3 linked regions of the Cricetulus griseus genome follow. The protein of the gene in region 1 purifies or fractionates together with the protein of each later gene. This does not show direct contact. Links are inferred from orthologs where the notes say so. Each region holds a gene or a part of one and is shown in the gene's direction. Other genes may lie near its edges.

Region 1 (4,116 bases):
CCCTGTCACTCGAAAGCCTGACCACGAACCAGGCCGAACACCAAGCAAGACTTTGGGTCTGGTTAGGAAGAGAAAAGGCCAGCACTCCGCGCACTCTCCAGGTTCTCTCCGGACCCGTATTCATTTAATTCTTGGAAGTTTGCTGCATCGGAAAGGAAGAGGTTCGTTCGCAGCTATGAGCTGGGGCAAACAATAGCAGGTCCTGTTGGTCTTTCAGAATTCGAGACCCAGAGCCCACGGCAGCGGCTGAGCTGGGTGCAGACAGAGCAACCAGCCTCCCGAATGAGCCGGGAGTGGGGAGCCCTGTGGGGCAGAGGACTTGGGGTGCGGCGTGAGTGAGGAATTGGGCGCTTCGGGGAGCGAGCGCGATCTGAAGCCCAGTTGGTGCTCTGTCCCACGGATGTGTCTAGCGGGGCTGCCATGCCGGGAGAATCACGGACGTCTAAGTTGAGACTCGAACCCAGGACCTCCAGGAAGGCGAGCCCATCCACAGGCCTGCGAGACTTGCGAAGCACCTGAGCACCTGAGGTCACGCTGCAGGTGGTCGCTCTCCCTCAGCAAAACCTCAAAGCAAACCTATATTTATACTTGAACATCACATAGAAAATAAATTGCAATAGAATATATAGATACTATGCTTTGCTTTGTTTTTTATCTGAGAAAAGGTCTCACGAAGCCAAGATGGCCTCAGACTTTATAATTAACGTTGGGTGACCCTGAACGGCCATTGCCTCCGCCTTCAGGTCTGGGATTTAAGGTGTGCTCGCTCCATCGTGCCGGGTGTATGCAGGGTTGGGGATAGAAACCCGGGTTCCACATAAGCTAAGGAAGCCCCCCGCCATCTGTGCCGCGCCCCTAGCCCCGGTAACAGGAACTTTGTTACTTACAAAATAGGTTTATCTGTATACACTGTATACTTAAAATAAATATGTATAAATGTAATTTACAAATACAAGCGTCTAGTTAAAATCTAAATTTCAGACGAGGGAGTTTTCCAGTCTAAGTTCGTGCCATGTAGCATCTGGGAACATATTTACACTGTGACTCATCTGAAGTCAGGATTTAGCCCTGCGTCCCGCGGCTCGCGCGGAGATCCTCTGTGGCGCAACGGCGCTCGGCGCCTTTAAAGCACGGGCTCGGACTCCCCGCCCCACAATGCCGCGCGGCCGCTAGGGGCTCCCATTGGCCGCAGCTCGCTTCCGCCTCCGTACTTCCGGCCGCGGCTCGCGGCGGTTGCGGGCTGTACCTCGGGGCTGTGCTGGCCCGGGCTGGCCGCGGCCATGAACTTCTCGGAGTCGTTCAAGCTTTCGGGCCTGCTTTGCAGGTTCTCCCCGGACGGCAAGTACCTGGTGAGCCGCGGCGCGCGGGGCAGAGCCCATGCGTGCGCGCGACCTGTGCCGGGGGCCCGGGGCGGGCCGAAGGGGGGCGGGAAGGGGGCCCGAGCGGGACGGCGGGCGCGGGGGGGGGGCGGCCAGGGGGACTCGAGCCAGGCGCGGTGTTGGGGAACCAGGCGGAGGGGTTTCGGGCCGGACGTGGGGGGACTAGGTACGTGATCAGGGTAGGGAAAAGGAACCTGAAGTAGGAGAGGGACCCAGGCGGGAGTAGGGGGTCCTGGCAGGTGGCCCGGGTAGGGAACGGGGGGGCGTGGAGCGGGTGGCCTGGGCAGGGCAGGGCAGGGCAGGGCAGGGGTGGAGTTGCCAGTAGGTTGATACTCCGGCTGGCAGGTGGTCAGGGGAGGGGAGGGGGACCTGGAGCAGGTGGCCCGGGCTGGGCGGATGCCAGCCTCCCTGCTCGGGTTTCCCTTTATCAAAGTTGGGTGATGCTGCTCTCACGCGCTTGAGGCACAGGGGATGCCAGCTCATTGTTATTTTGTCACAAACGGCAATGGTTTATGACCATTTTCGCTTGTAAGCTGTTTAAAATGGTGCCCTCATTTTTGGCCCTCACTACCCCTTTTCCGCCATCGCATGCAGTTATTTAAGGAACTGCCTTTCAGCCCCAATGTTGGATGTTAGCTGTACATTCTATGGGTGACAGGACGGTGTTCAAAAATACACCAATCTGACCACTGTGTACTTAGAAGGCAGACGCTTGGCATTAGGAAGTCACCAGGACAAAGGCTCATGTCTTATTAAAACTATGGTTCTGGGTCAGTGGGGTATCTTGGCCAGGAAAGGTACCTGCCACTAAAACTGATGACCTGAGTCTCGTCTCCAGGACCCAGGTAGCAGAAAGGGAGAACAGGCTCCTGCAAGTTGTCCTCTAACCTATCCATAAGCCATATCTAGTGCAGGACCCTTCCCACAAACAAATCATAATTTTTAATGAGCTTCCTTTTATGCATCTATCTTCTTTTAACGAACAGGTACCTTTAAAAAAAAAAAAACTGTTACTTTTTCAAGACAAGGTTTCTCTGTGTAGCCCTGGCTGCCCTGGAACTCATTCTGTAGATCAGATTGGCCTCAAACTTAAGATCTGCCCTCTTCTGCCTCCCCTGTGCTGGGATTAAAGGCATGGACCACCACCGCCGCCTGGCTTTCTTGGATCTTTTTGTTTGTCTGTTTTGTTTGTTGAGATAGGGTTTCTCTGTGTAGCCCTGGCTGTCCTAGAAGTCACTCTGTAGACCAGGCTGTCCTAGAACTCACAAAGATCCACCTGCCTCTGCCTCCTGAGCACTGCTGGGATTAAAGGTCTTCCATAGCACACCCGGTGCTATCTTGGTTCTTAATCCACACTCCTGGAGTATTTCTCCAAGCCTTAGGGATAGAGATTACCCTTATGTGTCATTAGAAAGTAGGAAGTGTCAGGATAGAGATGGTGTTAGCAGATAAAGATATGGCTTGGGCTCTGCAAGCGTGACAACTTGTGTTCTGGAACCTGTCTAAAAGGGAAAGGAGAGACACACACACACACACACACACACACACACACACACACACACACACACACACACACACACACACACACACACACACACACACACACACACACACACACACACACACACACACACACACACACACACACACACACACACACACACACACACACACACACACACACACACACACACACACACACACACACACACACACCCCATGTAAAGGAGGAAGGAGATTTCCCCCCCCCCCACACACACCTGGATACACTTTACCTTTTACTGCCATGCAAGCCTGACCACTTGAGTTGTGGAACCCACTTAAAGGAGAAGGAGAGAATTAACCACATTCTCACACACATACTTGCACAGTGTCTACCTTGATACATTTTTGCACAGTGTCTGCCTTGATACATTTTACCTAAGTGCCTCCACAGATTAGGGTTGCTTTACTGTTCTGAAAGTTCTAACTAACATCAAAGAGCTTTTGGTTATCTACATTTGTGTTTGGGATTGCCCACTCATCAAAATACTGTGGAACTCTTGGTAATTGTTTCTTGGGAGTCTTGCCATACTGAGCAAAGCAGCCCATGTTTCCAGTCTCAGTGTCTCTGTCAGTGGTTCATAAGGAATTCATTGTAGCTGGTAACTTTGTATTCACAGCTCACAAAGCTATAGTGTGAAAACCTGTGACAGGGCCTCCTTCTAAGCTGTGCTTGGCCTTTGTGCTCTCTCTTTTCTGCACAATACTAATTAGGCTTCCCTTAAAAAAAAATCTGCGCGTGCACGGCATGCATGTGTGTCTCCATGTTAGTGTGCAGTGGTATACGGGTGTCACAACACACAGAAGGTAGAGGACAACACAGAATATTACGCTTGACTTCCACCTTATTTGAGACAAGGTCTCTCGTTCTCCACTGCATACACCAGGCTAGCTGTCCCACAAGCTCCTGTCCCCACCTCCCCTCTGACCACAGGGACACTGGGATTATAAACAAGTGTACCCAGGTTTATGTGGCTTCTGGGGATCCAAATTTGCTTTTCCGGCTAGTGCAACTTCTTGGCTCTTGGACTTTAGTATAATATGCAAAGCTGGCCTCAGGCTTAGAAAGTAGCTGAGTACCTCCCCAGTGCTGTGATTACAGGAGTGTACCATCACACCCAAGGGGAGGCGGTGTTTTAGGATAGAGTTTCTTGCTCTGGCTGTCCAGGAACTCACTCTGCAGACCAGGGTGACT
Region 2 (3,646 bases), on another chromosome or scaffold:
GTCTGCTTAGACCTGACCTCTGCTACCCCAGTGCTGACGTCACAGCGTCTGCTTAGACCTGACCTCTGCTACCCCAGTGCTGACGTCACAGCGTCTGCTTAGACCTGACCTCTGCTACCCCAGTGCTGACGTCACAGCGTCTGCTTGGACCTGACCTCTGTTACCCCAGTGCTGACGTCACAGCGTCTGCTTAGACCTGACCTCTGCTATCCCAGTGCTGACGTCACAGCGTCTGCTTAGACCTGACCTCTGACCTGACCTCTGCTACCCCAGTGCTGACGTCACAGCGTCTGCTTAGACCTGACCTCTGCTACCCCAGTGCTGACGTCACAGCATCTGCTTAGACCTGACCTCTGCTACCCCAGTGCTGACGTCACAGCGTCTGCTTAGACCTGACCTCTGTTACCCCAGTGCCAGCTCTTCATTGCTGCTGCATTTGTCTGATTGGGGGGAGGGGGGTATAATAACTCTTCTTTCTTTTAACCTTTTGCCACCTTTCTCCTGAGAGGTATTTTTCATAGTCAAGTGTTTCAACCTTCCTGGAAATTAGTAACAAATAAAGACTATTGTATATAGATGCATGTTTGACTTAAGTTTTCATATTGTTTTCTGTGGTAACTTAATCAACATTGGTACATTTTCCTATAATTTCATGTTTTGGTCCAACAAAAAGAAAAACATGTCAGCCATAAAATGATAGGAGAATTGGGATTAACTGTTTGACTCTGTTGATAATTTCAAAAGGTTTACTTGTTGCAGCAGTCTAAACTTAGAGACAAATCGACCAGTCTCAGTCCTGCCTGTCTTCTGTGTGACACTGAGCCTGCCTCTGAGCCTGAGTTTCTTTTTTGCACAGTTTGAGAAGTAAATGTGCAGCAGCATCCAGCACAGCATTGCACAGACAGCAGCTGTCTCAGACAGCTCTGTCAGTCAGATTGGAAGAGATCTGAATTTGGGAGTTTCTGTCTTCAGTACCTTTTTACAAGATATAGATACTGGCTAATGGGTGAGAGATTGCTTGAGCCCGATAGAGCAGCCTGGGTGTAAAAGCATTGTAAGTTACTGGTCTTTCCGTCGTTCTCTTTGGGCTGTAGGTTATCTCTGATATTGAAGATGACCTTGGAGAGCTGAGCAGAGAGAGCGCGTGGGGCCTCTCCTGTGACACTGTGAGAGAGCAGCTTACAAACAGCATCAGGAGACAGTGGAGGATCTTGAAAAGTCACGTGGAAAAACTCGATAACCAAGGTAACCCCTGCTGCAGTGCAGGAGAAGTGGGCGCCATGTAAGCTGCTGCTGTCCAGTGCAGGGCTGGCTGCTCTGGGTGTCTGGTTCTGCCTGGTTTGCCCCTGGCTTTGCACTCACTGACAGAGATGCACCTGGCTCCAGAACAAGTCTTAGAGAGCAGCATTGCTCACACTTGAAGTCCCCGTGCAGCTCGGTAGTGAACTGAACAACTTGTAGCTCGAGTATGAAGGCAAGCACTCTTATATGTGTTAAAGTCTGCGTGCTTCTAAATCAGGAAAGTTGAGTTTGTGCTTTTTCAGGTTTACATTTATCATTTTAATTGTGTTTGTGTGTGCAAAGGGGCGTGTCATGTGAGTGTAGGTTTCTGTGGAGGCCAGAGGTGCTGACTCCCCGGAGCTGAAGTTAACAGGTAGTTACAAGACCCCAACATGGGTGCTAGAAATGGAGCCTGGGAGCTCTAAGGAACAGAGTGCACTTTTCACCTCTGTCATTTCTTGAGCACTAAAATTTCTGTTTAGTAAAGTCAGTTACTTAAAGTTTATTGGAGTTATCAGTACAAAGCTGTGAGTCACAAAGGACAAACAGCATAGTTCTCACAGTTGCACATTCACTTGCAGTAATTTATTTTAAATGTGTGTTCAAGACCAGCTTAAGACAATAGTGGCTTTAAAACCTGTGCCTAGTTTCTGGCTCTCATCGTGGTTTCTATTGTTTTGGTAAACACCATGACCAGAAGCATCTTGAGAGGAAAGGGTAAATTTTACTCTGTGTGTGTGTGTGTGTGTGTGTGTGTGTGTGTGTGTGTGTGTGTGTGTGTTCCATTTTTTTATTTGAATTAGAAACAAGATTGTTTTACATGACAATTCCAGTTCCCTCTCCCTTCCCTCCTCCCCTGCCCCCCCCCCAACTAAAACGCTACCTATCACAAAACCTTTCTGCGCCCCCAGGGAGAGTGAGGCCTTCCATAGGGGATCTTCAGAGTCTATCATATCCTTTGGGATAGGGCCTAGGCCCAACCCCCGTGTGTCTTGGCTAAGGGAGTATCCCTCTATGTGGAATGGGCTCCCAAATCCACACCTAAGCTAGGGATAAGTACTGATCTACTACAAGAGGTCCCGTAGATTTCCGAGGTCTCCTCACTGACACCCACGTTCAGGGGGTCTGTGTCAGTCCCATGCTGGTTTCCCAGCTATCAGTCTGGGGACCAAGAGCTCCCCGTTGTTCAGGTCAGCTGTTTCTGTGGGTTTCAGCAGCTAATCCTTTGCTCATCACTGGTTCTTTTCTGGAACTGGATTCCAGTTCATTTCAGTGATTAGTTGTGGGTGTCTGCTTCTACTTCCATCAGCTGCTGGATGAGGGCTATCAGGTGGCATATAAGTCAGTCATCAATCTCATAATCAGGGGAGGGCATTTAAGGTAGCCTCTCCTCTGTTGCTTAGATTGTTAGCTGGTGTCATCATTGTCGATCTCCAGACATTTCCCGAGTGCCTGATTTCTCTTTAAACCTAAAATATCTCCCTCTATTATGGTATCTCTTATCTTATAAGAGATAACCTGCTTTCTCATACAACTCCAGACCACTTTCTCAGTGGTGGCCCCATCATACTGAGCTGGGCCTCCCACAAGGCCAGCCTGGTCTACAACGTGAGTTCCGAGACAGCCAGGGCTATACAGAGAAACCCTACTCCAAAAACAAACAAACAAACAAACAACTCATTACTGAAGAAAATGTCTCACAAGCTTGTCTGTGGAAGCATTTTCTCAGTTGTTCTCAGTTTGGGGCCCTCTTCTTTGATGACCCTTGCTGGAGTCAGGGTGACAGCAAACTAACCCAGCACACTGGGATTCTGTCAGTTTCAAAGGTCCACTCAGAAGGCCTCAATGATGAGGACGTCATCTCACGACAGGACCATGAAGAAGAGACTGAGAAACTGGAATTGGAGATCCAGCAGTGTAAAGAGATGATCCGAGCACAGCAGCAGCTCTTACAGGTAAAGGGATGGCCTCGGGGTGTTATTGAACCTGCTAGATTTTTGCTCCTGTGTCTCCTGAGGTCTGTAGAGTTGACACCCTTTACCATCTCAGGTGAGTCATCTGAACTAGCAGTTAATGAGCTGCAGCCTTGTTCACCTGGCCCCTACTTTGCCAAGGGAAGCAGCTCTTGGGAAAGCAAGTTCTCATTGCTTCATCGTGTATGTCCTTGGCCAAGCTCTGACCCATCTTCCCTGCGTTCACTGGAGTGTGAGTAAGCTGTCTGGGTTTCCTGACTTACTGTGTTTTAAACCTTAATAGCAGCAGCTGGCCACGACATGTGATGATGACACAACCTCACTGCTTCGAGACTGTTACTTGCTGGAAGAAAAGGAACGCCTTAAAGAAGAGTGGTCCCTTTTTAAAGAGC
Region 3 (4,333 bases), on another chromosome or scaffold:
ATTCTAATCCTGGCTTCAGCGGGGAATGTGAAAGATACATTTTCTAGGCTTGTGCATTCTGGACCTGGAATAAATATGACTTTGCTTTCAAATAACCACAAGGTTTTAGAAGCAGATTATTCTCGTGCTAGGCATTCTGAAGAAGTGTCCATTACACAGGGAGTCAGTACAGATGTTTTGCCTAGTTCTCCAATTCCAACTTGACCATACCCTCTAGTTCTTAGGAAACAAAGATACTGAGCTACAGGGATATTCTGACTGCCACTAGTGAGATTTAAACTGGCTTCTCCAGACCAGTTGCTAACCTCTCCAGTTGCATTATTCCGTGGTTATTTTAGAGCCAGGATGATTGGCCTCCACCTTATTTCACACACACACACACACACACACACACACACACACACACACACACACACACACACACACACACAGAAAGGCCATGACCTAGGAAGTTGTCCAAGGCAGGAATGTCTCCTCCATCAGTCTCTTTAACAAAGACATCAGCAAAAGACATGTCCCTTGTTTCTAAATTTCCCATCTCACACACTACATTTGTTTGCATTATTTCTCCTATTAGCTCTTTCTCGTTTACACCACTTTGTAGTTAAATCCCAAATCTTATACATAAGATTCATTTGGGGGAACATTTACATTTTCTTTTCTTTGTCATTGTTGGGAAATGCTAATTTGTAACGTCACAAGTTATCTCGGGGAGTTCAACAGCACAAGTGGTACTTTTCATATTCTCCGTGTACCTAAAATGAAGTCGTTAAGATGCATTGTACAAGTGTATGCTTTGCCCTGTTGGCAGTTTCCTGGCTTGGGGTGAATCAGCGCCCCGGCTAGAATCCTTAAACCTTCTGATTAGGAAAGCCCAGGCTGGCAAGTCAGAGTCTGTGCTCAAAGAGAGCTGAGAGTGAGTTTACCCAGGTTCTTCTGGGTAGTCTGGATGCAGAACAGCGTTGCTTTGAAGCGCAGCATCGCGCCTTCTGGAAAGCACGCTGTAGGAATGGGGAAGAAACTCAGAGAGAACAGTTTCGAAAATACCAGACGAGTAGGTATGGTCTTTTCTCGTTATGTCTTGAGGGCTCAAAGGTGTGGCCACTCCCCACCCCCATTGGCCTCTTTGACAGCCTTCTCTCCTTGCTGCACTGATGGATTACACTCTCCGCAAATGCTCCAGAGCCTCGAAGCCTCCAGGAAACCAACTTCCTTCCCGTCCCCAGCAATTTTTAAGTCACCTGACCCAGGGGCCCATTTTAAATCCGTTATCAAAAACAGCTACGATTCCATAACGAAAGGGGGAAGAAAAAAAAAAAAAAATGACGGGGCGACCGCGCATCCCAGAAGCGCGTTTTTCCGTCCCCTCGCCCGGCTCGCTGTGGCCCCGCCGGGCCGCCGTAGCCGGCCTCGCGCGTTCCCAGCGTGGCGAGGAGCCGCTGTCGGCGGGACTTCCGTGTTGGCGGGATTCTGAACGCTGCCATGGCTCAGACGGTGCAGAACGTTACATTGTCCCTCACTCTGCCCATCACGTGCCACATCTGCTTGGGGAAGGTAATGGGTGCGGCTAGGAGACGGGCGGGCGGCCCGAGCGGCGGCGGGAGGCCGGTCCGGGGCCCGCGGGCGGGGCGGCCCGGGGCGGGGCGGGGGGCCTGCGGGGAGCAGCGGTCCGAGCCTCCGCGGCGAGCGAGCGAGCGGGCGAGCGGCCGGGCGAGCCACGCAGCCTCCATCCTCCGTGCGGCGAGCGGCGCCGAGGAGAGCAGGCTCCCCGCCAGCCCCGGCGCCCGGCCGGCCGCCCGCAGCGATGGCTCGGGGGCCGCGGCCCCGTTCCCAGCCCTTCCTTCCCCCGTCTCACTCCCGGCTGGACGGCGGCTCTCGCCACGCGTTGAGGGTTAGAAAAGTCCTCGGTGGTAGCTGCTCCCCCTCTCCCCCCGCTCCCCTCTGTGCCGTGGAGAAGGGGAAGGAAGCCAGCGGGGTCCCGGCTCCCGCTTCAGTCCCCAGAGGCGACATGAGGTGCTCGTGGGTTCGTGAAACTCCGCGGAGAAAGTAGTTTGGTGTTAGAAACCGAGCTTTCCCTTTCATTTCCGTTTGTGCCCCCCGATTCGGTTCTTTTTTTTTAAAGAGCGTGCCTTTACCGCGTGGTCCAAGAACGGAAAAGAACTGGAACGCTCGTTCTTCTTTTTTTTCTTTTCTTTCACCTTGGGTTGTACGTAGTGTGCCCCAGAATGTAGGCTGCACTTTACAGCCCCAGGCTTAGCAGGGAAAAAAGAATTGGGTGCCAGCCAATAAGATGGCCTGCTTTTTAGGTGTTGGAAGTTCAGCGTAGATTTGCTGATTCAATAAATAAAAGCAAGTTGGGTCTGGAAGCAACTGCTAGCTAGCATCTAGACAGAGTAAAAGGCCACAAATATGGTCCATCTGCTGTGAGAAAGAATGGCCTGCTTGGTCTCTCTGAGGAGCTGAAGGATGACGTTTACAAAGGTGGCTTTTGAGCTGGCCAACTGGTAAATCTGAACTATGTTTTCTTCACACCCAAAGATGCCATCACAGTTCCATCCCTTCAAACATACATCTTTTTTTTCTTCTAAATTATTATCTCTTATCCTTGCCCCATGGTGGGAAAGCCTTTAAAAATTTTTTTAAGAACTATTCAGGCTTTGTCAATTGTGATCTATATTGTTGTTTCCTTATATCTCAGTTTCCACCGCTCAAAATGTGTTTAATTTTATCAACCCCAGTTAACTTGTTGGAAGAATTTCTGTTTGACCCTGAGGAACATTTGTGATTGTGTAGTTTCTTTTGATTGCCTCCAGGGGCAAGCCAATGGCATCTGACTGGTGGATTCCAGAGCTGCTGCTAGCTAAATTTCCTATGATATACAACACAAAAATACTTCAGTTAAGAAAAATGTTGATAGTGCCCCAAATGGGAAGCCCCTACCTGAACCAATACATAACTCCTAGTCAGCGAGCCCTCCATAGTAGGGCTATTAATGAAGAACTTTTAACACTACTCCTTCCAAATACATTTGCTATGTTAAGAAAGGGATTTCATTGGAAAGGAGATAACATGACATGATAAAAAAGGAAAAACAAGCTGTGTGTGGTGGCACATGCCTTCATCTTTAACTCGGGAGGCAGACACAGGTAGATCCCTGAGTTCAGTGCCAGCCTGGTCTACAGAGCAAGGACAACCAGGGCTAAGGAAGGAGACAGATTGTAGAGTTAATCTTTGCACCAAAGACCACCCCTTCCTGTCCATTAGTGTACAGAGCACAGTATTGTAGTTTGCTCTCTCTTCCTCTTCCTCTTCTTCACCATCTTGGAAACATTATCCTCCGATCCTCATCCTTGAACATGCATGCCCCTGAAAAGTTAGGGATTTCACGTGCCACTTATACCGTTGCCATGGTGATCAACTGTTTTTGATTGTGAAGACTGATGACCTGGGAAATTATGATCATATCCATATCTTAGAACTTTTAGACCTATGTCTGTTTTGGCTATTTTGTATAGTGGGGTTTGCGTAGAGGAACATGGGTAGACAAGAACTGAAAGAGTACTAAATGCTTCATATTTTACTACTTGGAGAAAGAATCCATTTTTAAGTTAGTGTTTGTATTAGTTACTTTTTGTTGCTGTGATAACACCAGGAACAAAAGTGACTGACTATTAGAGGAGAGAATTTATTTTGGCTTATGGCTCCAGGGGCAGAGTCTATAATGGCGGGGAGGTGTGGCACTGGGCAGCTGGAGCAGAGGGCAGGGAGACAGTGAGCCTGCTGTGAGGGTAAGCTATAAATTCTCAAGGCCTCAGCTGATGGTGCGCTTCCTCCAGCAAGGCCTCCCTGCTTAAAGGGTTCCTCCTTAATCTGCCACCAGCCTGAGTCCAAGTATTCAGTTAGCCATTCGAACCACCACATTCTACTCTCTGCTCCCCATAGGCTCCTCGCCATGTCACGACAGATGCATCTACTGCATTTTGAAGTCCTCATGGTCTTTTGCTGTCTCAACAGTGTTTAAAAGTCTAAAGTTGCTTCTAAGACTCATCAGTCTCTTAACTGTGATCCCCCCAATAAAATAAAAAAGTACGTATTTCCAACACCAGGTGGTACAGACTATACATTCCCATCCCAAAAGGGAGGAATGGGGCACAGTGAGGACATACTAGACCAAAGTCCAGGGCACAGAATCTTGTAGCTCTGTGTCCAGTGTCTGAGAGTTTACTATCAAAGGGCTTAGTTGGATCACCTCCTATCTTTGCTGCTTACAACATAAATCTGTTGCTTGGTGTGCCACTCCCTATATGCAGTTCTTGGCAGATGCCTTATAGCT

The links.
Region 2: the proteins of Wrap73 (region 1) and Ssx2ip purify together in Homo sapiens (co-immunoprecipitation; 4 studies listed by BioGRID and IntAct, counting the BioPlex papers as one, with this or other methods). This does not show direct contact. The link is inferred for Cricetulus griseus from reciprocal best matches to the Homo sapiens genes WRAP73 and SSX2IP.
Region 3: the proteins of Wrap73 (region 1) and Obi1 purify together in Homo sapiens (affinity purification with mass spectrometry; 3 studies listed by BioGRID and IntAct, counting the BioPlex papers as one, with this or other methods). This does not show direct contact. The link is inferred for Cricetulus griseus from reciprocal best matches to the Homo sapiens genes WRAP73 and OBI1.

The regions. Positions count from the first base shown.
Region 1 is NC_048595.1:2,161,317-2,165,432, reverse strand, and holds the start of Wrap73 (WD repeat-containing protein WRAP73), read left to right. Parts: upstream 1-1,216; 5' UTR 1,217-1,280; coding exon 1,281-1,349; intron 1,350-4,116.
Region 2 is NW_023276806.1:12,736,934-12,740,579, reverse strand, and holds part of Ssx2ip (afadin- and alpha-actinin-binding protein), read left to right. Parts: intron 1-1,094; coding exon 1,095-1,245; intron 1,246-3,099; coding exon 3,100-3,236; intron 3,237-3,537; coding exon 3,538-3,646. UniProt on the Homo sapiens protein: Belongs to an adhesion system, which plays a role in the organization of homotypic, interneuronal and heterotypic cell-cell adherens junctions (AJs).
Region 3 is NW_023276807.1:256,066,024-256,070,356, reverse strand, and holds the start of Obi1 (ORC ubiquitin ligase 1), read left to right. Parts: upstream 1-1,397; 5' UTR 1,398-1,482; coding exon 1,483-1,554; intron 1,555-4,333. UniProt on the Homo sapiens protein: E3 ubiquitin ligase essential for DNA replication origin activation during S phase.